4 linked regions of the Drosophila melanogaster genome follow. The protein of the gene in region 3 interacts with the protein of the main gene of each other region in a pairwise test. Each region holds a gene or a part of one and is shown on either strand. Other genes may lie near its edges. The genes, in order: CG7203, PIG-G, dpr17 and GstO1.

Region 1 (7,143 bases), on a different chromosome or scaffold from region 3:
TGTTTTAAATCGAACCGAGAGGCGCCAATGATGCAATTGCAATCGTAACGTAATCAATTGGTCAAGTATTGCCCCGTTAACCGTTAGCTGGCGATCAAGATCTGCGGTTAATTAATCCAATTACAATTAGCATGCTAAGCGAAATCCTAATGGTCATTAAGAGAAGGCAATAATTAACCACTTTAGTGGTCGCGGTTGTCACTACACAACTGTCACAACTAACAAAGAGCTTAGCCACACAATTGTTGCTAATTCAACGAGTTCTATATGAGTTTTATGGCCTGGTTAGTGTGTTCGTGACGTTAGCAAGTGGCTGTCGGAATTTTCTGGGCTATGGGCCGCCTTTTTTCCTGCATATTTTCCTTTTTGCCATCCAGCTGCTGCCACGAAAAATCACAGAAATCTGAACGAGTGTGTGCAACAAGTTTGTTTGCCGCTCATGCAACCCGCCAGATACTTGTCGCTCACTCGACTGCGAGTATTTGGCTACAGGTTGCAACTGCCGGCCGAACTATATTTAGGCCACCAACCAGTTGTGGGTGCGGATAAGAAAGCCGTGCCGTTATAGTGTTACGAAATCCATCCAGCAATGGAGCGGTATATCTTTTTATTTTGCTTCTATGGCTTCGAAAATGGATTGCAAGTGTCCACGGAAAAACGCCCTGTTCTGTTCGATTCTGCAGAATGAATCACACTCGACTGCAGAACTTGCTCTCGATCCTTCGCCGGAACACTGACCTTATTCAACAACTCATCGCCCACACGAGAGTGGATGGCTTAAATGATGTAATGCTTATATACACTTGCAAAAATATCTGTATGCGGATTCACAAAAAAGTCCAACTTTTCTACACACCTGCTCCATAAATGTGGTGTGGCATTTTTATATGCTTTTTATTGTCAATAAAACTAATGCGGATATGGCAAATTTTCGAGCAATAAACGATCTATTTGGAACTACTTTTTATTATCTTTAAGTTACTCAACTTATAATAAACACTTAAATTGAATAATTGTTTATATAGTATAAATTACAAAATTTATGAAGTCAACATTCTTTATATGTAATTAAATTGCACAGAAGTAGCTTGCCATGGTATTTAATATGCTTTTTATTTACCAGCAACAATTTACTATTTAAATAGTTCATCATATTAAGTCAGATAGTAGTTATCCATAATATGATCTAAAATCAACTACCTTTGAGATGCAAATTGGCAAACTTAGTTTCCGTGTGAACTAAAAGTGAACTGCCTTCGCCTTGCCAACGAATGAAGTGCGAATTGCGTAAACCACCAATAATAAAAGCAAATCCAACGCAGTGGGCCAAGTTGAACTCGATTCTGCGTAGAAACCAGAAACAGCTAAGTGCGTTCGGCTCAAGTGCAGTGAACCCGTTCGAAGCAGGAAGCAGCCGCAAAGTGCGTAAACTTGAACTTGTCGAAAGGGGGCTGGTGGTGGCGGTTTAAGCCAACTTGCATTCGGTAGCCGCGTCATGCGTTCTTTGGTTTTGCGTGCACGCAGCCGCCGATCGAGTTAAGCCCACTTGTGGCTAGCAAAAGAAAACAAAAAGTGAATGGCTGGGTCTAGATTTATGGCCAATTGCCATGGGGCTTGGCTGCCGACACGACACTAAACAACGCGGCAAAATGTTTCGCTGCCGTTTGTTTAGCTGCCACTTGGCTCCCCGCCCCCCAACTGAGTCGACTCCCCCTCCCACTCCATTCCCCATCCCCTTTCTTGGCCTCACGTTTCGCCGACAATTGACACTTTTATTGAAAGCCTAGGCATTTTTCGCTTATCATGTTTTCCGTCAAGTCTATTTTCGGTCAAAATGTTGGGGCATTAAGCCAGTATATTTAATATTTTTGTATTGAACTCACCATATGGGATACCCTGAAAATTATAATTTTAAATGTCTTATAAAAAAATATATAGACATAAGAAAGAACGCTTGAGTCGATTTCCTCAACTATCAGTTACTCCTTACTCAGCCGCTGGAAGTGCAAAGAAGAAAGTTCAACTATATTTTTGGCATACTGAAATTATTAATATTTAATATAAATTGCAATTTACTATTCATATATTTCACTAGATATAACAGCATATAGTCCTATATATCCCATCGGAATCGGGATCATCGCCTAACGGGTTTCAGGGGTCTGCAGTGGGCGTTAAGGCGGATTTGATCTGAACCGCATTACTTTGCATGGGCATTACTTAACTTCATCGCGGCCATATCAAGTTTGTGCACATTTTTCTATTAATAATTGCAAGTGCGAGTGTGCGGCGATCAAGGCAAACCGCCCCTGCTCCAGATCGAGTAGTACTCTCGTTTTCAGTTCAAAGACCAGTTCGGTTCGACGGCAGTTTGTACTATGAGTTGGCAACAAAGTTGTCCAGCTGCCGAGCAACTGCGTCTCATTTCTGGAGCGGCTTTTTGTCAACGCCCCTGCTGTAGCGCCGGTCTGAGGCCCCGGAATTGATTAATTACTGGCATCGGTAATCGGCCATCGATCGAGATTGTTTTAAGCCATTTAGCTGTCCAATGTTTGCTGCACTTGAAGGCGTGGGAGTTGGGCTAAGGGTGTGGCTTCTAATTGCCGTTAAAAAAGGTGAGTCGATCCCCTGGTAATTGCGTAAAAATTATTTGAAATAAATATTCTGGGACCACGATCTAGATACATCTGCTAATGGCATATAAATAGTTACTTAAGCGCTAGCAACCGTAACTAAAACGCCTTTCAACTGTTTTAATAACATTTTTTTATTCAAAAAGAAACAAATTTCCATGTGACAACAGCGGGGTGGATAAATATAGACCAGAGAGTAAAGCGGAAAGCGATAGACTGGATAGGATTGACTTAGATTGCTGAAGAAATGAGAACCCAACGGGATCTCAGCAGAGGACAGACCTTTCGGTAACTTAAAAAACCAAAAAATGTGGTAAAGATGCGAGCAAGTGGCGGTCAGGATCAATGTAGGGGTAATCCAGAAGTCATTTCAGGTGATTACCAGGTGCCTGGTGCGGGTTCCAAGTTCACGGAAGCAGCGGACTGCACATGTCCTGGCAGAGGAGCCACATGGACAGCTCCACGGGTCTTGGCCACATAGCTGGCCTCCGGAGCGGCGACGGCCACCACGGCGGGGGCGTGGGCAGCAACCACAGCGGCGGGAACGGGAGCGGCAACCACCGCTGGTCCAGACTGGATGAGCACGGGTCCGGCTGGGGACAGGGACAGGGGAACGGCAGCGGGAACCGCAGATGCCTGGATGGCCACCGAACCGGCGACGGCGGGAGAACCGACCACCAGACCATGGGCGGAGGTCAGGAGAGGCACCACCGAGCTGTTGACACCCCAGGCCAAAGCGAACAGGACTACGACAACGGCGAACTGAAAATAAGAATCTTGATTTAGATGGAAACTCAGGAACTATGATAAAAATAACTTATTTGAAGTTTTTTTAATTTTGGAGTTTCTCTGAATGGGGTCGTAATGTGTTCAGCGATCTGATATTAATTTATGTATAACTCGATAAAGATCTTTTATGTCTACTTTTGCAGCATACCAATTTGTATAGAAATGTTTTACTAAAAACAACATAAATCCCTTCATGTTGTCCTTTTACATAACACTAGCTGTAACTAAGCTCCAGTTATCCGATATCCCTTCAATCTCACCTTCATGTTGGCTTTTGTGATCTCAGTGACGCTTGAAACGAAACTAACTGACATCTGCCCGTTGGCCAAGTGCTTTTATAGCTCCGATCCATAATTTCATTTAGCATATAAGGCCAGTTCTCGGATTGATCAGCCATGTGTATGTTTGCTGCACAAATGCGGAAACCGGGCCAGAGAACAAACCACGTAATACCTTCAGTCCCAACCCCAACCCCAACCCGAACCCCTTGACCTTCCCGAATCAATAACCACAATTCATTGACGACAATTCAAGTGCGCGACAATTAGCCACACCGGTTGACATGACGAAAACAAGACTGGTCTCATTTGATTCGGCCAATCCATAACCATGACTTCAATATCTGTATATGATATACACTAAAGCCATGTCTCGGGTGCCCCTAACAACAATGGATAGGCAAATTACAAGCCACCGCAGCACCACTGTGCCTCTGTACCACCATCGCCCCACACACATTCAGCACCACTGGCTGTCCATTTAAATTTCATCAGCAGAATGTAATTAAATTCACTTCGGTTAGCTCGCCCTGAAATTAATGTGCCGGCCGCCAGTTGTCGGCAAACTGATCCATTTTGGTCACCGACTATAGATTTCTCGATTGCATTTGCATATCACTAATGCAGTCAACGCCAACATATGTCCAGGAATACCATATAAAAATCAGAGTCCATATGTAGGAAACGATTTCACTACAAATATTACCAATCCTTAAAATATGAAAATTAAATTTTGTAAATTTTATTTGGTATTTAAATATAAAATAATGGTTTATAATTTAATATATGTTAAGTTATACCCCCTTTTGTAGAGTAATCCGTAATTGTATATATAGAACATATTTATTGATTCCATTAAGAAACGATAAGTAAATCAAACCACTTTCGCTTTTAAGTCGGAAAGCAATTCTACGTAATAAATTACAAAACATTTGAATATCAGTAGAGATTGTCATACGTTTAATTTTTTCTAAGTAAGAGCTGTACATTTTAGGGTAAATTTTTGTGAAATTAAAAATTTAACAACACTATATCTTTCATTTAACAGTCAATTAAAGCTTTTGTCAAAGCAAAATCTTCAGTCAGTATACACAAATAACTAATTCCGTTTCAAGCAAGCATACTTTATATTTTCGAGTACTATACTTGATGTAAAGAACTCCCACTGAGAAGCAGAATCAGGCTTGGTTCTAGAAAGGATTCGGAGGCTTTAAAATGGCACGCCTGGTGTTTACGGAGAAAGATCACAATGCATACGATCCCAAAAAGTATAAGGTAACCACTGCCGGAATACAGTCCATAAAATGAGCATTAATCTCCAACTTTTATGTTCATCCAAAGGTGGTGCACAAGAACCACTGGCGACAGGTCAGCCTGCTGCTGCAGCCTTCCAACAAGAAGTGGTGGGAGGATCCCGATGTCATTGTTGCGTGAGTAGAGAACATTGAGGGTCGAACCACCAGCCAGGTGGGCGGTGGGGAAGTTTGAGTGGTTGGCACACGTGTGTCAGAATTCATTGCCGTCAAGTGCTTTTCGTGCTGTTTATGGCTACACTGAGAGGAATACTTAGTAATTGTAGGTAAATCAAAAAAGGATTTTGCATCAAGTGAATAGGATTCGGAATCAAAAAAAATCTTTTGAATTTAATCTTGAAATACAAATTTATACCTTAACAACACAAAACTCCTTTCCAAAATTAGCTGCTTTTCTCCTGTGCACTCGAGTTGGCCAATTGGTTGGTTCGGTGACTCTGACACCGATTGGCTCCAATGCAGCGCGCTGCCATTCAATTAAGATTCTTTGCCACAGCCGCAGCCATAATATTTTATTGCATCCATCAAATTGTCAGACTTACACATAAAGTATTGGCCTGCCACACCCAGAAATATTTCCATGCCAATTAAATGTGCGATGGGGAAATATTCGCACTCAATTGCATCACATCGTCTGATAAGATTATTTATCACTAATCCATAAACTAATCCTGCTGCCCAAACTTGTCAAAAAAAAATCTTCTTCGGCTTGAGTGGGTGGTTCTAATTTCCGGACAACATTCAGTCACGCGATGCTAACGAAGTCTTTGATAGATGGCTCCAACTTCTCGAATGCAAATGAACACCCAGAGGCGCGAAGGGGAGAAAGTGCAGCCATCAGCTGTCGGCGAAACTTTGGCAAGTAATTGGGGAACAGGAGTGATGGAAACGGGAAATTGACTTGGTTATTCTCACTGGGTCGCCGGAAAACTCACGTTTCGCGGGTTGCCTTGCTTTATGTAGCACTAAAGTCGGGAATTGTGTGGCACCAAGGTTAAGATTCTTGCCAGATATGGGGTAAATTGAAACTGAACGGACTGTGTCCTTAGAAAACTGCGCACTTTTGAGCTTGCATAAAGCAAATACCGAGAGAAAAGTTAAAATATAAGGGTTCTTAAGTGATCTATTGTGAAAGAACTTTTGCAGTGCAACTAAAGTGCTTTAGATAATTATGCACCAAAGAAGATGCATTTATAAATCAATAGAAGAAAAAGCTAATTTAATGTATTCAATTTTCTATTAAATTGCTATCTTAGTAAAACCTCACTGTATAGCGAAGGTACCCTACGAAATGGGGCTAATGTCAAAACAGTGTGTGGTGGAGAAATCCATTGGGCAACCCCTCGCTCCATTAGCATGGGTTTCACTTGCCTTTTGTCTGGGCTGCGTATCCACAATGATGCGAGGTGCCAGGAGGCGAGGGCCCACCCAAAAAACAATCGCGAACGGGGTAATGAAAAGGCATTTGGGTGTGGGAAAAAAGAAATACCATATAATACACCAATGCAATGCCGACACTTTGCGTGTTCAATAAAAAGGAAAGCGGCGGCAGGCGGAAAATGGTGTCAGTGCGAGGACAACGAAGAAGGAAAGTACTTAAGCGGCGCGTCACTCAATCAGAATGATATTATTTTTAATGGCGCAAAATGGATACAATAAACAGCGAGTACGAGCGCGTGGCTGCCACGCAACGGACACGCCGACGGTGGTGGCGCCTGATCCCACCTAGAATCAGAGAATCACCAACAGAACCAGAAGCACAGCCAGAATCGTGTGCGATGGTAGCCATATAAAGTTCGGTCGTCGCAGGATGAGGACGAAGTTTTAAACGGAATCGGAAACTTAATTACATTTCAATTTGGGCCTAAACAAACTGTTCCGCATATGTCACTCACGGCCATGAAGTCTGATGCCGCCGGGATCGGAGTGGTGGGCGTGGGCGGAACTGTTGCACTATCCGATTCCCGGGAATGGGCACCCCCGCCGCCGGGCAACCGATGTGCCACAGTGACTATGCTCCTGGCCCAGCGGATTGCACGCAATGCTTGCTGGTCAGTCGACGAGGAGCCCTCGTACAGTGCGAACAAGATGAACGTCTGGCAAACGCTGGAGTACCTCTCGGGGTTGAGT
Region 2 (9,235 bases), on a different chromosome or scaffold from region 3:
AATGCTGCACGTGCAGCAGGCATTGGCCGAGATGATAGCCAGTGCCAAGGTGCAGGCCATTAGGAACTGTTCGCGGATGGAGCAGATCTTCTTGCAGGCAATTGCAGCTGAAGTTACGCGCACTGGCGTCGAGGAGACGACTTTCATGGGCGTCTATCAGCAGGTGGAAACTATTGCCGCCTTCATGGGCGTGACCTTTCCACCACCAGGACGCGCCCTGCGCTTGTGCTCCAAGCTGGGCGCCGAGCGACTCATCATCAGTGAACATTCCCGCAATGACCTCTTTCAGAAAATCCTGCTCAACGTCAGCGCTGATGACATTCACTACGCCCTCAGAGTGGAAGAGATGGTCAACTAAGGCCATAATGCAAGAACAAACGAATAAGAAGTTAATTAAGCACATTAAATTCTCATCTCCATTTTTAAGACTCCAAATCCAGGTTACTTGACCTATCACATTTCCACCATTTTTAAATCATTCATTATTCATACAACATTGTAATAGCTTAAGCGTTTTTAAATTATTTCTTTTTAAGCGTCATGTTTAAACAATTTAAAGTACAAACTCGTTACTAAAAATACCAAATAGAACACCAGCACAGTGTAACAGTCGTAAAGTACTTTTGGGGAAAACACGGAGTAGATAAAGAGGTGGTAGCGGAAGCCAACCAAGAGGCAGAGGTAGAAGGCCGCCGGCAACATGATTAGCGCGGCGTAGAGCGGAGCTATCAGCGAATCCGCGGCTATCGAGTACGGAGGATGTAGCTGCATGATACCCACACTGCGCAGATCCGAGCGCAGGGTGTGGACAACTAAATAGAGGAATGCATGAATATCCGCACTGTACGTGTTGAGGGTGACAAAGATGGCAACGATCGACGGGTTGTAGTTTGTCTGTCCGATATAACCAGGCGTTAGGTCAATGGTGGACAGGCTGTTCGAGTTACCCTGGTAGAAGAAGAACATCCTGGCCAGGAATATGGTCATGATGATCTTGTACACATGCACCAATCGCACGGAGAACTTTCGGGCACTGGTGCCGTAGACATCGCACAGCTTGTACGTTTGCTGCAGGGCCACGAGAAGTACGGGTAGTAGTAAGATGTTGTGGACCCGTTGCAAAAGTGCAGCCAACAGCAGCGAGCTGGTAAGGTTCGTCTGCAGCAACTGCAATAATGCACCTGTGGGCGGCACCTTCCCAAAGCTGTGCGCTTGAGGCAGTGCCGCCCGATAGCCCAGCATCAAAACAAGGGCCAAACAGCACCAGAAGATCACCAGCGTCGGCACCATAAGTTTTGCACTGGAAATTATTAAAAATATACTATACCACAATATTCAGGCTGAACTCATTTAAACTTACGCCATGTGCGAAGGCACGTCGAAGAAAAGCACCTGGCCGTTTAGCCCTCGGAAGCAGTAAACCATGAATAAAGCTGCTCCACTGGCCAACGACTGCGGCAACTGGCTGTGACGATGGAGGCGTGCCCAGAGCAACAGCATCGAAAATATGACGACGGTGCTCCGGATAGCCTGCAGCCTGTGGATGTAGCGCATCAATGTGAGCAGCATAAGCACCACAAGCACTTTACGCATTTGCCACAGACAGGTCGATGCAATCGTGTACAGATGACGGCCATTTAGTTCCACGTTGGTTTTGGTGATGCGCCATCGCAGCGTTCGGAATGCCGTCAATAGGATGAGGGTATTGCCCAGGTAATACCATGTATTATACTCGAATTCAATAAACGAGGAGGAACCAAGAGTTAAAGTGCGTATAGCATAACAAGCTAGCAGAGGTAGCGGCAATGGAATGGAAATCTTCAGGCGACGCGTGTATAGCGGAGGCAATGCAATCTTGAGCAGCGCCTGCGCCACGTCGATTGTAAGGTAAACAGCGATCGAGATGGGTACCAATAGGAGAATGCTGTAAAGCGTTGAACTGGTCATGATGATGTCCAATGCATGACTAGTATAATTTAAGACGACAGCAGCAATCACAGAGAGCCACAGTTGCCCCACTTTTAATCCGTCCAGCTGAAGCTGTTCGGTGAGATCCAAGTACAAGACGCTGATCACAATATGAAGGGATGTCTGAAAGAACGTGGTCACTATAGCGTACTTAAAAACTGGTCAGAAAACTTACCGATGTGGTCAAAGCTAATCCAACGGCAATAAATCCATAGTCGAACTTCACCAGGGATTCGGAGAGCAGATCAGAAATCTCGCGAGCCACGCGCATATAATTAAGCTTGGCGTTCTGGTAGTAAACCTGACTAGCTCCACCTCCATCGCCTTCTCTTAAAGGGCGCAGCAGCTTCTTGTGTAACAGGGTGGCATTCTGATACCAGGTGTAGTAATCTGGAGAATGAATGAATAATTAACTAAAGAAATCGGCGCGGAGGGATCATAACCTTACCACTCCGATGGACTATTTCGTGGCCGAACTTCACTCGCGCCTTGTTGAGCAAGTGGTGGGCGTTGTAGAAGTAAGCATACAACTGGTGCTCCAAAGACAGCGATTGCAGCATCTCCGGTATTAGGCAGCCAATGGAGAGCGTGGGTATTTCAACAGACAGAAGCACTGAAAGGGTGGGCGCCAAATCGATTTGGTTGTACCGTTTTGAGGCGGATCTGTGCAAGAATCATTTGTAGATGCAGTTTTTCTTTTAGATTGTACTTTTGGGGCTTACGGTGTTTTGCTGCAGTTGTTGTAATACAAATATAAAGGTACCAGAGTTTCGGCTGGCGTATTGCCGCCATGTCCTCCGCCATCAGCCATGCCATGATCTCCAGTCAGCATAAGCAGAACGTTGGGAAAACTCTAAATAGGGAAGGAGTTACTTTACAGCTTTCCCTCTATATTAAGCTATCTAATAGCTCACCTTATGATCCAATATTTTTTTCACCACCTCATCCATTTCCTTTAGCTTTAGGGGCACCCTAGGGCTGGCATTGCCCTCGACATGACCAATGTGATCGAGGCCCAGATAGTGTAAAATCAGCAAAGACCAGTCACTCCGCTCCAACTCAGTCTCCAGCGTTTTGGTCACATTTCTATCGCCCTCGTAGAAGTCGTTAACATAAAAGGAATCATGGTTCTCGACCTGCCGTGTAAACTCGCTGGGAAAGAGCTTCACCCAGGTGTGGTCGCCGGCAAAGGAAACAACTCGATTCTGCTGTTTTAGCCGGTGCAAGAACGAGTCCTGCATCTGCTCCGTATGACCCACGTTTAGCGCAATGTCGATAAAGTTCGAAAGGGTGCCGGTGGTGATGCTCTTCAAGCGTGGCATAGTCACCGTCGGTATGTCCACATGGAGCTTAAGCTTCTCGCAGGCCCTAGAATAAGCCACCGGCATAGACGTGGCATCGGGAAAATCATCGCGCAACGCGTCGACCAGTAACAGCACAAAGGAGTCATAGGCAGGTGGCGGCGGCGTCAGTCTGTAAAGGGTAACGAGCATTATAGGGGCGCTATCTCACGCAATTATCAGCTCATAAACTCACTCCATGCCAAGCAGAGCGGTGGGCCGGCCCTCTGGCACGGTGCTTTCCTTCTCCGCCACCGAGTAGGAGGCCGGAAAGAAGCCAATCAGAAAGAGCACGGCGCCGCAAAGGAACGCCGTGAGCATGCCGATGGTATAGACCAGCCAACTTTTGTGCTGTTCCATCTTCTTGTTTTCATCGAAAGTACCGCGCTCCACCGAAAACCACAACAAATTCAATATAATTGCCGCCCGTCAGCTGGAAGTCAAATATAAAGGCTAGACAATCGATAAGTGCTGTATGCTATCGATAGACGGCAAGCAAAACTTCAGGGGCGTAGGCACATAAAACTAATAAATGCTAAAGTCTTACGTATAATTTATATTTATTTTAAAACTATTGATACGAAAGAGTTAAGAGAGGAAATTTGTTAGCTTTATGGAAAAAAAGTATTAATATTTACATAATATTACTAACGTTTTGCCATTTCTCGAAGTGTATATTATTTTATACTTAATTTATCTTAATTTACATTTAAAATCTTACATATAAAAGAAATTTTTTAAATTTGATACTTATAAAACAAACGAATTTAATATCGTCTGTCGAACCCTTTTGCCCATTTGTGAATGCGCCCATGGTCTCTCATAGTCGGATATGTATAAACAAACGCTTTTGATTGTTATTTCTAACTTAAAATGGAAACTTGCGGCCTTATTTGTGTGAGCAGGGACTACGAGAAGTTCCTGATGCGCTGCTCCTACTGTCCAACGGACGTGGAGGTGGCCCAGTGGCAGGAGTTTGTGCTGCACATCCGCAACGTGCATAGCAAAGTAAGGAGCATGGAAGACGACTTCGAGCCAGTGGGGGAAAATTCTACGGAGTCTGGGCACGTAGATCCTCCAGAGGAGAAACCCCAAGCGGAAGAGTCGATATTCCAGCAAGACGAATCGGCGGACGGAGCCTGTGTACAGCTGCATATTGACGCAGTGCGTTCGTCGACAAACGAGACTGAGGAGTCGGACGTATCTTTGGTTACAGATGAAGAAGAATCCGTCCAGGACGAGGATCCAAGTGAACCAGCTCTTGATGATGCCAATTTAAAAACCACACCCACATACAAGGTACTTCTAGAAGCCATTCATGAACGCGCTAAACTAATCTCAGCATTCAACTTCAGTTTCATCCATCCTTCTTTCGCCGAGATCACCGAACCATAAAGTTCATAGAGATCTACAAGGAACACCCGTGCCTTTGGAATCCCGCTCACAGCGACTACAAGGAACCCAAGAAATGCAAAGAAGCCCTGAAGCGTATGGCCATTGACTTGGAGGCAACTGTATCCGTATTCCTGAACGAGATGGCCTTAAAGCTGGCCATCAAGAAAGTCCACATGCAGTTCAACACCGTGCACAAGCGGGTGGTGTCTGGAAAACAGAAACCTCAATCGCTGGCTTTCAGTATATACAAATTGTGTTGCTTCTTGAACGCTAGCAACGATGAAGAAGGGGCTACGAATAACGAAAAAATTAAGGCAAGATATTTGAATTAATTCAAATTGAAATTGTTAACAAGCATACTTTGCCCGCAGCTTGATTTCTCCAAGAAAAACAAGCTGACTACCGACCTGATAGAGATGTACGCAAACTTTCCGCAGCTATACGACTCCAACCACAAGGAGTTCTCCAATATGAGCTCTCGAAAACAGGCATACGAGAGCATGGCTGCGGAAATCTCAGTGCCCAATGTGGACATCAACAGCGATGACATATTCCGCGCCATCCAGAATCTCCGCCAATGGTACTACAAGAACACTAAGCATGCCATTTATGCCGGAAGTACAGCCGAGAAGTTCTACCTAGAGGTGTGTCGGTTCATGCCTGCAAAGATGTACAAGCAGCGGCTGGTCTGCGAATTTTGCCACCAGATTACGTCCTCGGATCATGTCCTGCAGTCGCACATCTTCAAGGCGCACAACATCGGCGAGCTGCCCTTCAAATGCACCTTGTGCGACCGAAGTTTTGTGGGACGTTGCGAGCTGGCTAATCACATACAGCGGGTCCATATCGGCAAGACCCACAAGTGCACCCATTGTGAGCGTTCATTCGCTGTGATGTCGGACCTGCAGCTGCACATCCGTACGCACACTGGCCACAAGCCTTACGTCTGCGAGCATTGCGGCAAGGCCTTCCGACTGCGGTCCCAAATGACGCTCCACGTCACGGCTATTCACACGAAGATCAGAGCCTTCAAGTGCACCATGTGTCCCAAAGACTTTGTGAAAAAGGTCGACTTATCGGATCACATCAAGGGCCATTTAAACATCCGCGACAAAATCTGCAGTGTGTGCGGTAAGGGATTCACCAGCTGCCATGCACTCATCCGACACCGGCAGATTCACTCCGAGGTGAAGAAGTTTGTGTGCAAACTCTGCGACTCCAGGTTCTCCCAGTTTGTGGGTCTTAATACGCACATGAAGCGCACCCACAACATTCTTCGTAATAATTCACAAAAGGGTAAAGATGCTGTGGATGCAGAGAACTGAATTTGATTAAATTTGCAATAAAATGACAGTTTATAAATAGGCAATCTTTTGCAAATGGGGGGAAATAAAAATACACAAATGAGAGTGAAACAATATGTTTAAACAAATTTATTTATATAACGGTTTAAGAATGTATATTAATAATTAAGAATATAAATTCTACATTATCTGGCCATGTCCATCTGTCGAAATCTGGGGATGTACATCTAAAAGCCTAAACACATTCCCCTGCCTACGCTGCGCTATTTTTTCCAAAATGTTGGCACGCCCACAAGGCGCCGACAACTGTAACGCCCATACATTTGAAAAACGTTTTGGTGTTTTCCTGTTCATATTTGTCTCGCTATTTTCTATCGATATGACAAAAAAAATATAATTTCTCAACAAATAAGCTTGATTGATTTTGATTTTTCCAAATGGTTAGTACTAGAATTTTATAACATTTTTTTTCGAAAATTGAAATGTACTAGTTACTTTAAAGATTCATTCATGAAATGCAGATTTTTAATCATTTTTAAGCACCACCAACAGTTGTTAAAACGTTTTCTTTTAAGCCTTCATAAAATTGTGTTTAAATATTATTTTAAAAATAGATTTTTATCGAATAGTCTATCGATACATAATTATTTCAGTCGTTGTCCAACACAGTCCCAAACGCATAAAAAAATTGTTACCTTAAATAAACGAATATATTTTCAGAAAAGGAACATTTTTCAAGCTGAAGTCAGATCAGAGCGCACAACGTAAGCATGGAGCTGTGCGGCAATGTGATGACCAACTCCAAGTACGAGATGTTCCGGCTGAAATGCCTCTACTGCAGCATAGAGAGCGAGCTGAAGGATTGGGAGCTGTTCATCGTCCATGTGAAATCGGCGCACTACTGCGAAGACGAGGACGTTAGGATTAATGAAATCAAAGAGGATACCGAGGAGCTATACAGCGTCGTTGACGCGGCGGACCCAGCCATCGCCTATGGGCCGGATGAGTTCTTCGAGGTGATCGAAAACAGCAATGGGGTCGATCAATGGATGGAAGCTGATAGCAAGGTAAGACTCTTTCACTCGCTTACCAAGGGTGGTCAAATAAGTGAGCTCTCGTTGACCGCAGGATATCCAGTACGAGGAAGACGCCACCGCTTGGTCTGCAGCTACAAACAATTCCTGGGAGTTCGGTCCAGGCGGCAGCTCTTTGGAACTTCCAGCCGGAAAGGAAGTCACACAAATGGACGAGTCTTCCCAAAATCACATACCCCTAAACACAGACGATGATGATGTTGATTGTAGTGACTTCTTTATGTCTGAGGATGACTTGGCACCTCCTAGAAAACCTGGACGTCCGCCCAGGCGAACAAGACCAGGACAGGTTTTCAAGGTTAGTACGTAGTATATTTCACTTAAGCTGAAATTCATTCCACTTAACGGCGTCATTCAGTTCAAAGTTTCGTTTATTCGGAGCAATCCCCGTGTGCTGCATTTGATCCAAGCGTACAAAGAGCATCCCTGCCTGTGGAACCCTTCCGATGAACACTACCAGGACGAGCCTGCACGAAGCATGGCCTACGAGGCGATAATGGAACGCATGGACCGCAAGGCCAATGTTCTCTTCACCGTGGAAGAACTGAAGAAAACGCTCGAGCAACTGCACGTGCAGTACACGCTGGCTTTGGAGACAAAACAAAGGGGAAAGCTTGTTGGACTTGCAGCGCGTTACTTTGCCAAGTGCGAGTTCCTCAGTGTGGCGCCTGTTGTAACGCCAAGGGAGAACGAGGAGGACAACGACTTGACTGCAATTAAGGTAATAACTAGCCCACTATAATGTAGCTCTTTTCTGACCAAAAATCCTTTTTTCAGCTTAATTTTAAGGAGGAAAACCTGATAACCACCTCATTCATAGAGACCTATGCCAACTATCCCGTGCTGTATAATCAAGCGTTGCCAGACTTTGGCTCAATAGAGATACGTGCAGATGCCTTCAAAAGAATGGCAAAGGAATTCCAGCCAGTGGTGAAGGCCAACGAAACGGACGTTTACATTGCGGTCAACAAGCTGCGCCGTTGGCTTTACGATGCCATTCGTCGCCTCAAATCCAAGGAACTAATTCAGAAGTGCAGCAAGCAAGAGGTTCAGTATCTGCAAATGTGCAGCTTCTTGCCCGCCAAGGGTTCCGAAAGTCAGGTGCTGTACTGTGACTACTGCGATAAACGTTTCCACGGCGACTACAACCTACGGGTGCACATCGTCAAGGCGCACGAGGTGGGCGACCTACCGTACCTCTGCTCGTTCTGCCCGAGGCGCTTCGACCGCCACGTAGACATGGACCGTCACAAGCTGCGTTCCCACTTCGAACGCAAGTTGAAGTGCCAGTACTGCGAAAAATCGTTCGCCGTGGATACCGACCTAAAGGTGCACACACTAATCCACACGGGCGAGCGGCCTCACGTCTGTGACATCTGCGGCAAGACATTCCGGCTCAAGCTACTCCTGGACCACCACGTCAACGGAGTTCACCTGAACATTAGACCCTACAGCTGCAATATGTGCACCAAAACCTTCCGCAAGAAGTTCGAGCTGGCCAACCATATCAAAGGACATCTGAATATCCGTGATAAGAAGTGCGAGTACTGTGATGCTACGTTCTATGACCATTCTTCGCTTTCCAGACATCGCCGCAGCCACAGATCGGAATGAACTCTCGCCTTGAGGGACATTTTTAGAAACTGCTTTATTTTTTGATAACGAGAATCAGTAAGCTTCATTTGATGTAAATCAAGAATAAACTTACGTTAGAGTAGTGATAATAACAAGCGTGTTGTTAAGCACTTACGGCTTTTGTGTATTTGATAAGAACATGTGTATGATAATCATATGCACAAGCTTTTCCTTTTTCATACTTTCCTTTTCAAAATTTGGTTTAAGGAATGTATTATTCATAAAAAAAAGAAGAAGCCGGAAAAATAAGTTCGTTTTAAGATAAATTTGTATAACCGTTACTTGTAGAGGAGATATTAGAATAACATATGATTTTTTGGTTCTGGCTCTAGATCTAGAGCTGGCTTGAGGCTCTCCCGAGTTTTTGTTCAAAAGTCAGAGAGCGGAGAGCTCTAGAGCTAGCAGCTCTATTATTATTATTTTTGATCAAATGACGTGTACAAAATTTTATATATATTCATTTTTAACAATGTATTTATATTTCTTTTATGAAATATAT
Region 3 (8,507 bases):
TGAGTATTGTTGAGGAATAAAAAAATGTTACTGTTACAAAAAAAATGTTACTGTTACAAGGTATCACTCGTTCGACTATTCGGCTTGCACTCGATTCCATCTGCAGTTCATTTACATAGTATTCGATTAAGTGCAATTTACTTTGCGTTTCGATTTCTATGGGTTTCCTTTCTCTATGGCATTTGAAATGAAAAGCGTGAGGCTTAAAGTGCGTTTGGCTCGATTGCCTGAACACTGAAATCAAGTGCGGTAGATTGTGAGCTGCTGGTTGCACTCAAACCCCATTGATTCTCGAACTTTTGCTGGTTCCCTTTAACAATAAACACAGCTCAACTGGCTCAAACCGCAGGTGCAGACTGAACTTTGGTTCTCTAGGTTGCAGTTAATGTTTATCTATTTCCGAATATTGGTTTTATTTTTCTTCAATTGCTGTTCGTCATTCAATTCTTTGAAACCTAAATTTACATGAAATTTTCTAACAGAATTAACACTTGCGAGCCTCAGGCTGTCACATCCGATTCAATAATAACAAAATTATAATTTGCATTATCGTTTGGGTCTTGTTAATAGGACACTCTAGGAGTATAACTTGTTTGGCCTAAGTGCATAAATTGCTAATAAATTGTCACAACATTATGCATATTGGTATTTTCCAGACCATCTCCTTGGCTCTTCAATAGTTTTCCTTCACAAATATTTCATATCGTAGATGCATTTTCCGTTGTACTCGCAGGATAAAATCAAACCAGATTTTCTCATATGTGTATGCGTGTATGTTGCCTTGTACCGTCTATCAGAAATTTGTCTAGAATGTCATTGAAAATTCGCATATTCGGAGAGAGCAGAGTTGGGCACCCTTCCAAAACGAACAAGGATATGGACAAAGGAAAATATATATTTATATGCATTCGCAGGGAAAATTGAAGTCTGAAGAAATCTGAAAAAATTGAGAAAAGCAATCATAATGTAGATATTGAAATATATTGACAGGCGTGCGACTCGAGAGTCACTCCCCAAAATGAGCAAACCAATTTTTGTAGTTCAAGTTCCTGTCCCAAGAGAAATGATGTTTGCTTAAATTTAGCCCAGATGCGATTGCCTCCAACAAAAAATATTAATTTATTTACGACCTTTATAAAAAGTGCTAAAATTAACAGCTGAGCAATGTTTAGCTAATACAAAGCCATCAACTTTCTGTTTGAGGTCTTTGGGAAGAGCAATTCCGACGGACCATCAAAAATGTACTGAATAATTAATATTTATTTAAAGTTTTTGATAAATTTAGCCTTGTTAAGGGCCCAAAATATTTTTTTTGTTATAAAAAAGCAATTGTTGCTAGAATCTATGTTTTAAATAAGATTTACAGTTTCTTAATGGATAGAAATGGAAAATTATATGTGCCAGAAGTCGCTTGTGTAATATTATATATTTTTAAGAGTACTATGCAGTCGCTTTACTGCATACTACAATTTTGATCTTTTGTTTTATTTCACAACTCGATTGATGGGCTTTTAGCAGCTTTTGGTTTTTGTTGCCTGGCTTTTGGCTTCGATAACTGGCGCAACTGTTCACTGTTTTCACTGGCTCAAAGGCGACATAAAGTATATTTTGATTATTTTGTGAGCCAGAAGTTGAGCATTTTAAGGCCCGCCGGCATTTGCATTTCAAATATACTTTTACGACAGCCAGCCAGCCCCTTAGCCTTTGGCCCGCATCCCGCCCGACACCTTCCGCCGCAGGATCTTTTGCTGCGGGCGAGACGAGGTGAGCCACATGGAAGTGGAAGTGAGTGAAATACCACAAATGGCGTGTAAACACAACAAAGAGGTAATAACAATGGATGCCAACGAGGTCCCTGACTTCAAGGACCAATGGAAGGGCGGCAAAAGTAGCCGAGGGGAACTCGTCCGCATTCCTGGAGCCTTTGGGAGGAGTTCTTTACGCAGCGCAGGGGGGGATGGGGGGATGGACTTTGGCACCAAGCGCACCCGCACTTTCGAAAACATTTTTATTTGTTTCTCCGTAAGCTGTGTCAATACACAATAAATTGAACTGAGCAGGAATTTATGTTGGTCCTGTGTGAGGATATTCAGCACCCTATCTGCCCGCTGGCTCTGTTATCGCACTGGGGCGTCAATTGCCTGTAGGCCACCGCCCCCTGGGGACTTAAAAGTTCAATAATATTTATTTGTTACTTGCTCTTTGACAACAAAGCACACGAGATTATACTTAGTCCTAGGCCGTCGTTCATCAAGCCGCGCATATTGGCCCACTCCATTCTACATAATGGCATATTGTCGCACAATACCCGAGACCACAGATATGTCTTCGCCGGGGCAGTAAATTCCGGCCACTAAAGGCGATGATTTTTCAACAGACACCGAGCTAATTTAGTGACCGAATGCCAACGCGGTCACCACCGTGATTTACGGGGTCACCATTTGCACGACTCCAATTATTTGTTGGTTGCCTCGTGACTTTAACCTTAGAGAAAAGTGCTGAAGAACGGATGAGTATATTTCAGCTTAGATTAATGTCAAAATAAAGCTAACACTCGGTTTAAGAGGGAATAGAAATTAACTGCTTAAAATATATATTATATTTTAGGTCGGTTACAAACTGCTAACTCTTAAACTCTTTCATTTTAAAATTGAATAGCTACGAGATTTATATATTCCATGTATCAATCTTTATACCATTTTTAAGAGGCGTCAATTCATATTTTACATCATGGTCGATTTTTGGTGGCGTCGAGCGAACCAATTGATATTCATGTGCGACTAAAATAGGCATTTGTCCGGCGGAAACAAGTGTTTTGTTGGTCATCTACAAATGGCATCCGCGGAATAAAAAATAAATCTTCAATCTTCTGTTGCCAAAGCAGTATTAGCGCGCAGGCGCGAACAAACAGCCGGCAAATAACCCGACGGTTCGATTCCGAAAATTCAGTGCAACCAGAGGGATGTGAACGGCACAAAGCTGGGGAAGTTGGAAACGAACCGGTATGCCACATGAAACAGAGGAGAATCCGATGTGGAACGCTCGACGGAATGGCTATGAATCGGCACTATCCGCCTCGGAATGTTAAGAACTCGATGGGAAGTGGGATGGCGTCGCTCGAACGCGACTCAGTCGAAAATTTGAATCCGGTTCGCGCGGACGTGACTCGGATGGTGGAAGGAAACCCAGACCGCAAACGAAACCGCAACCAGAAGTCAATTTTACGCGTTTATGTCTGAAAGGGACTTGTGCTGAAGAGGCGGGAGTTAGGAAAACAAAATGTGACAACAGAAACGAAGAAAAAAGTTAATGGAAAGTGGCAAAGAAAGAAAAGAAGAATTAAGACAAAGTTAAACCACTTGATGTCCTCTTGGGTGTCCTGTGTCCCGTGTCCTGCAGTGCCGCCTGTCGAGTGTCTTTTGCCGAAATCACTTTTAAAATTTGTTTGCTCCCGCCTTATGCAAATGGATATTAGAATGCCGCGCTGAATTGCGAAGCCGAGGAACAAAAACAGGACCGAAGAAAACAGAGGATTTCTCCAAGGACGCGTAACGTAAAAAAGGGATTATTGTGCATCATTTTGGGCAGCAAGAATAATGCCAAGGAGGGCGAAATAAAAAATATTCTCAAGTCGGATTATGCGATAAATTGTTACTGAAGTGTAAATGTTTTCTCACGTGTTAAATCATTAAATATAAGCCACCCAAGCTGCACACAATTCGTTTAGAGCCCGGCCATATGGCCATTGTTACCTTTTGCCACCGACCTAAAACTCAAAGAAAGCCCATCGAAAGGCAATGTGAAACTTGTTAAACACTATAAATGGTCGAAGTTTTTAAGGTTTTTTTTTGTGCGAAAAGTTTTGGCCATTAGTCATCGAGAACATTGTGTGATAGTTCTGCATGAAAGCCGTGCAAGTTATTAACTTTTAAGAAAGTGAGCCGGGAACCAAGAAAAAGGAAATTCTATGTAATTAATTGCAAAACGATTATGAAAGTTTAAGTGGAAATAAGTTGATTTATATTTCTTGGCAAGTTCGAGCACTTGACTTTTCCATTGATTGAGCTGTTGAAGTAAAACTTCAAGATGTAGAAATATGTTTTCAAAAGTTTTGTTACCATGCAGAAGTGTTAACTCTGTTCAGATTAGTTTTTAAAGAAATACCATTTTTAATGGTAAGGTTATATTTTATTCTTGTTTTAAATACGTATTTTTCTTCACGTGCTTTTAATACTCAATTATATGGTATCCCAAAACCACTTTTACAATCACAATAAAATCGTATGCAAACAACATTTTAGGTAAATGTAGTTATTAGGGATTAAACGGATTTGTGCTGTTCAACAAAATAAGTTTTGGAAGAGACCAAAAAGCTAAATAAACAAATTGGATTACCATGGAATAAAGTCGAGTTCCGATGCCAGTTTATTTGTCTATGCTGGTGCCACTGCATCGCCAATAAAAGTTTGCCACTCAACAAAGGCGAAAACACTTAAATAAATATATAAATCAAGCAACACAAAAATTGTGCAAAACCAAGTGCAGAGACCGAGTAAGCCAACAATGGGTTTGCACGAAAATCGCTTGAGAAAACGCATCGAAAAACTTGTGGCCGACCCATAAAGAAGAATTGCAATTTTTTGTCGAAAGCTAGAAATAAAATCAAATGAAATAAAATAAAATAAAATGAAACAGTATAGAGGTTAGATAGAACCCAAATGGAGGCAAGCCAGGACCCAAGCCAGCCCCAAGTGTATTAATTCAATAAACCTATTTATCTGAGACTTCGACTGGGATTTCGAGAACGGAGCAGAGAATGCGACAAAGTTTGCCAGCCAAGACGGCGCAGTGCAATCAGCAGATCCTGTCTGTCCTGGTCCTGGCCCTCGCCCTGGTCTTGGTCCTAAGGAGCACGAGAAGCCAGATTCGATGCCGCAAACGAGTCCCAATTGGAGGCAGGCGGACAATGAGCGCACAAAAGGCGCTGTAAGTGTCATTGCAGCCAGGAACTGGGCCACTGGGACTGCCACGCAGGACTGGAGCCAGAAGAGCAGCAGTAGCTGGAGCAGCACCAGTCGAAGAACCGGAATCAGCAGAACCAGGACCAGGCCAGCCACGTTGACAACCGAGATGACAGTGGCAGGACGAGCAGAACGAGCAGGAGTAGGAGCGCCGTGGTGTCGCCGATTTTTCCATACATCCCCACTAGCGTCTTGGCTACGCATCAGCTTCGTCCTTTTGGTCCTTCCAGCTCTCGGCTTTGGGATACGTAAGTACAGCTGGGGGGTTTCCCTCACTCCTTGCGTGTGCGTGTGACTTTCATACATTTTTGATTTAATTTAACGCATTCACGTCGCACACTCTAACACACAGTTAACTGGGGATGGAGTCCTATGAACGGGTGGAATACACTTTAGGATTTGATATTCCCTAGTGTTAAACCAGATCCCTCTCTTTGCAAAGGTATCAAATCAGGAAAATGCAGTTTTTACATTTCTTCCTAAATGCACTTTTGTATTTAAACCTTAAATCATGCCTCGTAAAACTAGGAAAACAGCGACATCCTTTCAGTGCATTATGTTCTCCTGTTGTTCTGCCAGATTAACAGGATAAGTATCTCCAACTCCTCGTTTCCTTATTTATTCGGGTACCGGGTGAAAAATCTTATGCGCACTTGGCAACACACACATGGATAATTGTCCTCGTAAGCGGATCCCAAGACGCGAAATAGCTGCTGGCAAATTGTTTTAGTAGTTCTGGATCAGCTGGGGGAGTGGAGGCAAGGAAATTGTCGTTCTTTGAAATTGCGGAGGATGAAACTGGGGGCTGAGCTTCCCGTTGTTTCATTTGATTTGCCGAAATTAGATTAGAAGAAGCCACGGGGCTAGCGAAATGGGAAAACAATGGCCCATAAAAGATGACAAAAAGTTGTGCGGCATTGCGGAGCGATTCCTTATATAGGGGTTCTTCTGGTAATTCTATTTAATAAATAATTTAATTCGAATTTTCCACGTAATTAAGATAACTTCCTTGTGCACAGTGACTAGTTAATATAATTTATTCTGACCCGTAATAAGCACTTGAAGATGAAATATTGAGAAATATGCTAATTATATCGATAGATAGTGTCATTTTTATTCAAGCTAGATATATGTACTTGAAAAAATTGATAACTTAAGATCATGAATGCTTTTAAATTTCCAATCGGCTTTTCATTTTGTATTACAATCTTGCCTTGTTTGAAATTTATTTTACTCTACCAAACTTTCACAAGTAAGCAAGTGATTCAATGCCATTATTAGTATTTATTCCTTAAACAGAATATAAGCTCAAAATTTGTTAAAGTTAAGTGATCTAAATTTCTTGTAAACCCTTTTTTAAAATGGCATGTGCTTCATATGGTGCGTTGATTATGGAAGTTCTTAAAGAAAAGAAGTGCCCAGTGACTTATCGAGAAATCTTAGAAGAAGTAGCCTTTAAGCTTAAAGTTGCAAAAATGCATATAAAGGGCAGCGTAGATGTTGCACTGCGAATTGGCGTAAATAAAGGACATATTCTCAAGACTGGGCACCGATTCTACCTGATGAAATCAGAAAAAAAAAAAAACAAAATGCGAAAATGCCAAAAAAAACTTGTAGATCGAATCAAAAAATGCCGACAGGATACGTCGTTGCTTGATAAAGAATACGATTTTGAGGTTTTGACATATTCCGACGATGAAGAGGCTATGGTGTTTAATTATGTAAATCAAGAGAAGTCAAGCAGAAAACAGAAAACAATACTCCGATGCCATAATCCAGTGTTCAATCCGAAGTGTTAGAAGGAAGGACACAATATGGTACTCACAGAAGTTCAACGTCAATATAAAAAGCGAAAAACGACCAACATAAGTACAAGCTGCCAAAGAAGGTAAATTTGTAGTAATATTAAACTTAAACGGTTTGTAAATTTTAAACCAAAGAATCCAGTTTTTAGGTCCAAAGCGGATTTATATAAAATATGTCATTTTTTACCACAAAAATTTTAAAATACAATACCCATTTTTAAACTTTAAAACAAACATCCGCACCTCTTATAAGTGAAAAAGTTTTAAAATGGCCCACCGTTTCCGCAAATAGTTTCGTAAGGTCCTTAACCTCATTGCTTTCCATCAGCAAAAGCAGCTTCTCATTCTGTCGACTGCCCAATAATGGAGGCAAAAATAAAGCAATAAACTATAACCCTTCGTATAACTCTACGTTGGTCCTTTGGCTTTGCAGCCGCACAAAAATATTAACGAAATTGAAAACTTACCAAAAAATGTTTAATAAACACGTTTACAGCAGTGTGGACTTACCCCTTTCTAAATCCCTTATACGATTTCCCCACTGAGCTGCCCTTCTGTCCCTTTATTACAACTCTTAACAAAATGCGCTTTTGGAAAGTTGTGAGTGCAACTCGTTATGCCATAATGCGGAATGGGCCAACAAAGCATATGCAAGCCAACTCAAACTCCGAGCTCCGAAACATTCAAAATTATAATGCGGCCAAAGTTGGTCTTGCTACCCTGCCGGCTTTTGTTCTCTCGAAATCCTCATTCAGATTTTTTGAAAATTTCTGTGGGATTCTGTGGATTGTGCAGTGTTTTTTTTTCTGTTTGCTTACATAGTTCCTGGATCCCTGCTAATTTTGGGAATGTGCCTGCAAAGTCGTTGGGCCTCGAATCAAAGCGGCCTACAGGTTGACTTGGGCCGACCTTTCCTTCCTGATCGCCCCCGTCTTCTCACTATTACACCTAGCCAAATGGCCAGAATCCTTTAAGGCTGCTATATGGGGTCGTGATGTCATGTCCTCCAGTCCTGTCGTGCAGTGTCGTGTGTGCGGTCGTCGTTGCGAGGGCCAAAAGTGTTTGCTTACCTTCATAAATTATAAATGGGTTTGCGGAGAGACCCAAACAACAATATCAGCAGCATCCCTTAGGCGGCAGGACACACACACACACACACATTGCCAGTTGACCTCAGCCTCGGCAGGTCCTGTGATGACGGAAAATATTGTAACACAAGCAAAGTTGGGCAAGGCACATGACAGTGCCGCAGGTCAACAAATTGTCCAACGGTGGAACAATGTATGCCACATGGGTTTATTAGATGCCCAGAAACATCGCGAATTTTCAACAAACTCGCATGTTTAAAGGTGCACTTCGGTTGAAATGTCTTATTCGGAATTTAAATAACACTGAAAAATTTGTGTAAAATTCCTGACAAATATAGGTGGGCATGTTCTTGAAACAATTACATTGAAATTTCTGCTTATTCTATATACAAAACCACTTTGGTTGATGTATTCATTAAGAGTTTTGTATGCGTTTAAAACAATGAAGATTTTTTTATTTGCAAGTGTTCTACAAATACATTTTCCTTATTTTGGTGTTGAAAAGCACTATTAATTAAAAGTAGTTTAGTTCTTCATGCTTTCAACAAAGATGCAAGTCTTCTGCCAAAAAAGAAAATGACTTGTTTTCCGCT
Region 4 (7,161 bases), on a different chromosome or scaffold from region 3:
GGTATGGCATCTTTCGGAGCGTTGGGATTACAAGTCAGCACAGGATAAATGGCACTGACCACTGGAGCAAAACGTTCGATTAGAATCTTGTCCAGCGCCTTCTGAAGCGGATCCGTGGGAAAGAGTCGCGTCTGGGGATATTGCTGGTCCAAGTACTCTGCTATGATGAGCGACTCCACGAGGGTCGGTTGGTCCTTCACCCCAGTAAGCTGCAGGGCTGGCACTTTGCCCAGAGGACTGAAATCCTTGTACCATTCAGGCTTCTCAATCAAATCGACGTAGATCTTATGATGTTCAATATGTTTGGCGGCCAGCATCAGACGAACTCGGTGGCTGAAGGGGCAGAATGCCATGGAAAAGAAACGAGGAACTCCATCTTCTGGCAGCTCGGGCTTGGTGGAACCTGTAAGATCAATGTAAGCTTGATTAATTGGCAGGAATAAAAGCACTGACCCAAATCCCAGTTGAAAAGGTAGAAATAACATTTGATGGTCTACTTTATATATGGGTTTAATATTTTTTTAAAAGCGGTTTCACAATGTTAGTTTAAGTATGTTGCTTCCTGTCATCCATTAATACATCCTTTACAAGGGCTGGAAGGCTACATCGTAGTCCGGTTTGTTCTCATGGCGGGTCTTCATGAACTTCGCATGGATTCGGGCATCCAAAGCGGTGGCCTTGACAGCCTCATCCTGAGCCACCAGATCCCTCCACTTCAACAAATTCTGATAGCGTGTCTTGTCCAACTCGTAGGGTTCATCCAGAGTGTACTTGAGGGCCGGGAATCGCTCGAACCAGGGCCAAATCATGTAGTCAGCAATGCCGATCTTGTTGCCTCCAAAGTATGGTGTTCCGCGCTTGGTGATCTCCTGCTCGAAGACATCCAGAGCGGTCTCAAAGTTCTTGATGGCATCAGCGGGTGGATTCTTGGTGAACAGCACGGGGTAAATGGCGCTGACAGCGGGCGACAGGCGTTCGATGAGAATCCTGTCTAGCGCCTTTTGCAATGGATCCTTGGGGAAAAGGGAGCCCTCGCCCGGATACTGTTCATCCAAGTACTCGGCAATGACCAGGGACTCCACCAAAGCCGGTTGTCCAGGCAGATTTGGCAACTGGATAGCCGGCACCTTGCCCAATGGACTGTAGTCGATGTACCACTCTGGTTTCTCGCTAAGATCAATGTAAACCGTGTGATGTGGAATCTTTTTGGCGGCCAAAACCAAACCGGCACGCTGCGAGTACGGGCAGAATCTCATCGAATAGTAACGCAGGACTCCATCCTCGGGGATCTCCGGTTTGGGCGAACCTGTTGAAGGGTGATTTGTGACGTCAGCAGAAAGTTTTCCATTATGCTTTGGCTAAAATTAAAGCTCTATCTCTGCGTAATTTACGCCTCTCAAAGTGGGGTCTAGATAAAACTATGAAATCAATTGCCAACTTTTGCAGCGTCACTATCCCGATGACCTTGAAGTGCCCCCAACTCACCCCTCTTGAAGTGCTTTTGCGGCAGGGCCATTTTGTTAACAATTTTAAAATAATTCCCAAGACGTGAAATGTTGGTGGCAAAGTAGTTCCGATCGACTGACAACAAATAGAGGGATTCCGGTACCTTATAAAGTGGTCGCAGTCGCCGGACGAGTGAATTTATCGAATATATTTCGATTGTTGAGCGGGTGAATTTAAAATTCTTAAGCTCATATTTAAGAAAATTGTTTGACCACATATTAAAGACTACAAACGACTACTCTAAGATAAGTATTTTCATATCCATTTATCATTCATACCTTCATTAATCTAATTCTAAAACAAACGTACTTACAACCCGTATAAACAATGAAAATGCAAAGATTTATTTTTCAATCACAATAATGCTGCCGTAGTAGGTACATGTGTTACATGTTATATGTGCAAAAGGTACAATGCTGAAGTGGAAACGCCATCATCCCGTAGACTACCCCAATTTGACACGTTTGGCCTCATTGCTAGAAACGAGAAATGGATCAGTCACACATTATATGTATAATCTTCAAATCTTACTATAGCATATTATAATCGGCCTGGCCCGATCGCCGGGAGTTCATGTATTTGGCATGGGTCTGTCCATCCAGATAGAAACACTTGACAGCACGATCCTGGATCATCAAGTCGCGCCACTTAATCTGCAGTAGAACAATCTCGGTAATTTAAAAGACATAATTAGAAAACCAATAGGACCCACCAAAGTGGGAAAACGTTCCGGACTCAATTCGAATTTTTGTTCAAAAGTGTATTTCAGAGAGTCAAAGCGCTCGCACCAGGGCCACATCATGTAGTCAAGCATGCCTGGGCTGTCGCCACCAAAGAACTTGGTACAACGTCGCTTCAGTTCCTCCTCATAAACGACCAATCCGGCATAGTGATCGGTGTCAACCAGCTGCTCGGGATTGTCGTGCAGCAACAGGTAGTAGAAGGCATTGATGAACTGTCCGAAACGTTCGATTAAAATCTTCTCCTGGGCTTTTTTAAGCAGATCCTTGGGATACAATGGCACCTCCGGATACTTTTCGTCCAAGTAGTCACAAATAATGAGCGACTCGATCAGCACAGGATTTCCCTGTTCCTTGACCAGCTCCAGTGCCGGCACCTTTGTGGAGCTGCTCACCAGGGAGAACCACTCGGGTTTGTCGCGAAGATTGATGTAGATAGCGTGGTAGGGAATCTTTTTGGCATCCAGGACCAGGTGCACACGGTGTGCATAGGGGCAAAAGCGCATCGAATACAGCTTTAAGATCCCATCATCCGGAAATACGGGCTTTGGCGAGCCTGCAATATATATGCGCCTTTTAAATGTGAATTTGGAACTTAGTAACTTATACTAACCAATAGTTAAGTGCTGAGTATTGCTCATATTGGCAATACAATTTTTTCTGGAAAGGAACACAACCTGTTTTGCGGGTTATGACAATTATCGATATTTGACAGTAAACGTTAAGGTGGCTCGATAACGTATTGTCTTTTTACAGGATTGATGTATTTTTAATCAATTATTATTTAATCGGTTTAAAAAAATCTATCTTAATCTTAAATATTAATTTTTACAACTTTAATTTTTTTAAATATAATTCAGTCATCTATTCATCTATTATTTAGGACTTTAATTTCAATAATTTATGGTTATATATCCATAATAGACTATTTGCATCACTGCTCCAAATACATATTGTATATACATAATTAATCTAAAATCAATTTATATTTATCGTTTTTAATATTTGCTGCAAGAGGTTACATTGATCGCCATCGATGTGTAGCGTTGATAGCAACGGAACACCGATACCTATCGCGGATGATTCGGTGTTTTTCCACATCCCTACCGCCTATCGATAATTGTTATAACAAAATTGTTTTAGTTGCGGATTTCTTGTGTTTGGCGGTGTGAGCGAAAGAGAGATGGCTGCTGCGGCATATGTTTAGCGTGTCCGGAAAATGTTTACAGTAAGCTCGCCCTTGCGTAACTGAGCCCGTGTTGGTGTTGGTGGCCGCATCCCGTACTCCGTATCCCGTGCAAATCTCGCCGCTCCATGCGGACTCGCTTCGATTCGATTTCCCGTGCCAAACCGAGATTATTGCAACGTAATTGACACTCGGCGTAATCTCTACGGCCTCTTTCATTCACGCCCACCGCATCGGCAAAAGCTATAGCTCCCAGAATCGTCCAGCATTATCTTCGATCCCGCAATAACTCTAGTGGGAATTGTGTGAGTGTGTGTTACAGTGTGCGATGTGCTAAACAGTCCGGCAAATTTACGGGTGAGTTAGTAGTGGGCTTGCATTAATTATTCGCCTTTGTTTAATCTTGGCATAAGTTCGTTCAGAATGGAAAGTGCATGCGACGCGCCCCCATTCCACCTCCCACCGCCCAAAATCCACCCACCACCACCCACTCGTATTTATTTATAGCGGGACATTTCCATGTGCGTGTGATTTTGACACCCGCTCACTTACATCCATATGTATTTGTTGTACACACACATACGCAGATGCACACGTAACTACACTGATATTCAGCACGTTTTTATGCTATTTTCGATCGACATCATCAATGTGTTCTATACATAATTCAGCGCAATTCTGATACCATTTCCATGCTCGCTATCTTCAGAGCCTAATTACGCAAAATCAATGGAATTAGTGTTATCAAACGGGCCAGAATGCTTATCATCCACTGGCGGGGCTAGATAAGATTTCAAGGGGGAAGACAACGTGGATGAGTCTTCACATCGCGTATGCTTTATCTCTAGCATTCTCTCTATTTAAATCAATAGACTTATCCAAACGATCATAGTTACAATTACAATCCACGTGTTCGACGTACACAGCTTACATTTTGCGTAAATAAATACTCTTATCACCTTACACATAACGTCATTAGATTTTATATTTGTATTGCGCATTGAGGGATATGAAATATTTAAGTTGTATTCCGGATGCGTAACCCCCTTTGGAAGCCGTCACTGTTATCGCCACTGACCCATATATCAACATGTGTTCCTTTCGCACTTTTGGCTGCCTTCCACATAGTTCTGTTGTTTTTGTCTTTTTTTTTTTAGAAGTGTAGGTGGTGCATGAATCATAGATAGTGGTGCCGGTGGTGGCCAAAAGGGAAGCATCCTTATCGGGCGCGAACTTTTCCATTTCTCCGCCAAACGCCCGCCGCCAATCAATTATTCATGAGCCAGCGTAATTTGCAAAAATTGATATGTATATTTGCAAATAAAAAAAAATGCAATATCAGCTATGAATGCCTTGCAACCAGGCGCCAACAACTGAGGCAGCCAACCATTTCAGCAACCAACAACTCAATACGGAAAACAAACGTTTCTCGGCGATCCACGATCATTTCGATGCCCCCAGATGAATTATTTATCGCATATGGCCAGCCCTTCAACATCAGTTATGTGTCACTTGGTGGGTCGTACTAGCTGAATACTAAACCGGCCAGCCAGCCAGCGTACATAGTATGTAATTCAGCAGACGGCGAGCATGGCAAGGTCAGAGCCTCGTTCCGTACGGATTTGATCCAATCGGATTGGATCCGTAGCTGTCCATTCGGATTCCGAGACCGAGTCCGAATCTGAATCCGACGTGATTGACCTCAGCTTAGTCTAGTTGTGTGTACTTGGCTTCTACCCATCCAGAACTTCAGTTCCATGTGGCCATCACATGACGCGAGGTTTTTCATATCTTCCTAAACACACTGCTGAAATTTCACATCAAGCTTTGGCTTATGAAAAGGTAGAAACCAAAAAACAAAAAAAAAAAAAGATAATGCCCAAATTTGTGTGTGTATGTATGTGCTTGGATTCTTGGGTACACCTTTTCGCAGGTTATTTCGCTGAAGTTTCAGGTATGAATTTCGTGTTTGTGTTGCGGCCAAGATAAAAGATAAATTGCTCAGCAGGTAGAGAGACGATCTGGAGATGTAGATGTACGGTGGAAATTTCAGGCTAAACAAACTGTAGATTGTGCATAGTAGTTGTTCATAAATCTTGCGAGGAGTTCTACGAGTACGTTTCTAGATTTAATTTCGCAGTTTAAGGTTGTGACATGTATAAAACGAGATATTATGCAGTGTCAGGGGCCTAAAAACGTGGAGATACCATGTATGTACATATCATGTGAAATTTACTCATCAAGTTTTATCTATTGAACTTTGAGCGATCGCGTGTTCAATTTTAGGCTTTTTGTGCGGATGTCATGCGAAATTTGATTGTGCGATCGAAGCATAAAATGTGGAATGGGTTCCAGGAATTTTGAGTATATGAAATTGAGATTTAATGTGAAATTTCATGATGTTGACTCATCGAAAAGTAATCAGAACGTTTTGGAATTTCACAATTTGCGAAATGAGACCCACCCTTATCCTGAAATTTCAGCATGGAGATCTTTTGCGATGCCAAACGAATTTATGTGGAGGTTCTATGTATATGAAATTCATTTATGCTGACTCAGCTGCATAAGCTTTCCGCATCTAAAAAGGGTTACTCTGCGGAAATTTAATCCGTATGGGACAGCACTATTCGTTGGAGATATCATGCGAAATTTTGGTGTACACATGGAATTCAGAGAGCAGCGAGTTCAGTGACTTGCCGACTATACAATTACCACGAGAATTCGGAAAAAACAGACGCGTGCGATTTTCGATATGGAGATGTTATGCGAACTAAAGTCGATTCAGCAAATCTAATCGTACGTTTTTGGTACAGTAGCCTCTCGATATGTACGATTTTAAAGTGCAATTTTAAACAATAAAAACAAAGCAGTTTTTCCTAAAGTTTATTTATTTATTTATATTGAAAAAATAGTAAGTAAATTTAATAGAAGTACTAATAGTACTTTCAGATTACATTTTTTTAAAATTCTCAGACCACCAGATTGCAATGGTAAAATAATTAAATTATTGAAGGCTGGCCAAAAAATTATTTTTTTTTTAAATTAATTAGTTTGAATGGAATAAAAATAATAATACGTTGATCTGCTAAAATATTGACGTTTTAATTAGATCTTAGTTCGAACCGCATTAAGTATTTTGGCTAAGAGCTCAAAATTAAGATGGAATCATTGAGTTCTAATTTTCGTTCTCGTCGACATTGGACATGGTACAGAATCAGCCACGCCCCGCCAAGTTAGCACGCCTTCGATGTGGGTATGCTTTAATGTGGTCCCCAGTCATATGCACATCGATATATAATACACAAATATACATATATACAGACATACATACGTACACACTCACTCAATTAGCCAGCAATGAAACTGGCTTATAAATCGAACCGCAAGCGACGCGCGCCGCTCAGTTGCAAAGCGTTTGCAAAGCTCACTGGTGGTGAGGATCGCAGATCGGTTGGGTTTAGTGTTTCTTTCCCTTAAATCATCTTTCAACTCGTTACGAAAAGCATTCAAGATATTTTAAAAAATATAAACATATATGTGGTGTGGAAGAAAGTGAAATGAATTGATGGGCCCCGAATAAAAATGCCCTATAGCATTGACGCCATCATAAAAACGAGATCGTAAAACATTTTCTCGCAGTGGTTCCATTCAAATCACGCGAACAGAATTTAAATGAGGCTTGATTTAAAAAGAAAAAATAATAATAAAAATAACACAGCACTAAATACA

The links.
Region 1: the proteins of dpr17 (region 3) and CG7203 interact in a two-hybrid assay, tested with the Drosophila melanogaster proteins (one large-scale study listed by BioGRID).
Region 2: the proteins of dpr17 (region 3) and PIG-G interact in a two-hybrid assay, tested with the Drosophila melanogaster proteins (one large-scale study listed by BioGRID).
Region 4: the proteins of dpr17 (region 3) and GstO1 interact in a two-hybrid assay, tested with the Drosophila melanogaster proteins (one large-scale study listed by BioGRID).

Annotation. Positions count from the first base shown.
Region 1 is NT_033779.5:7,749,420-7,756,562, forward strand, and holds CG7203 (uncharacterized protein), read right to left. Parts: upstream 3,768-7,143; 5' UTR 3,689-3,767; coding exon 3,683-3,688; intron 3,396-3,682; coding exon 3,012-3,395; 3' UTR 2,751-3,011; downstream 1-2,750. Other genes in the region: CG46025 (uncharacterized protein), read left to right, coding at 6,898-7,143.
Region 2 is NT_033778.4:7,513,807-7,523,041, reverse strand, and holds PIG-G (phosphatidylinositol glycan anchor biosynthesis class G), read right to left. Parts: upstream 3,763-9,235; 5' UTR 3,669-3,762; coding exon 3,505-3,668; intron 3,442-3,504; coding exon 2,883-3,441; intron 2,822-2,882; coding exon 2,691-2,821; intron 2,632-2,690; coding exon 2,417-2,631; intron 2,359-2,416; coding exon 2,144-2,358; intron 2,092-2,143; coding exon 1,361-2,091; intron 1,301-1,360; coding exon 532-1,300; 3' UTR 501-531; downstream 1-500. Other genes in the region: Orc1 (origin recognition complex subunit 1), read left to right, coding at 1-358; CG1602 (uncharacterized protein), read left to right, coding at 4,182-4,607, 4,664-5,017, 5,075-6,028; CG1603 (uncharacterized protein), read left to right, coding at 6,778-7,074, 7,136-7,399, 7,460-7,822, 7,879-8,715.
Region 3 is NT_033777.3:12,091,748-12,100,254, forward strand, and holds the start of dpr17 (defective proboscis extension response 17), read left to right. Parts: upstream 1-3,128; 5' UTR 3,129-3,553; intron 3,554-3,882; exon of another isoform or gene 3,883-4,301; 5' UTR 4,302-4,929; coding exon 4,930-5,269; intron 5,270-6,338; exon of another isoform or gene 6,339-6,909; intron 6,910-8,507.
Region 4 is NT_037436.4:8,521,916-8,529,076, forward strand, and holds GstO1 (glutathione S transferase O1), read right to left. Parts: upstream 2,952-7,161; 5' UTR 2,888-2,951; coding exon 2,860-2,887; intron 2,803-2,859; coding exon 2,219-2,802; intron 2,160-2,218; coding exon 2,038-2,159; intron 1,983-2,037; coding exon 1,952-1,982; 3' UTR 1,827-1,951; downstream 1-1,826. Other genes in the region: GstO2 (glutathione S transferase O2), read right to left, coding at 1-403, 1,486-1,516.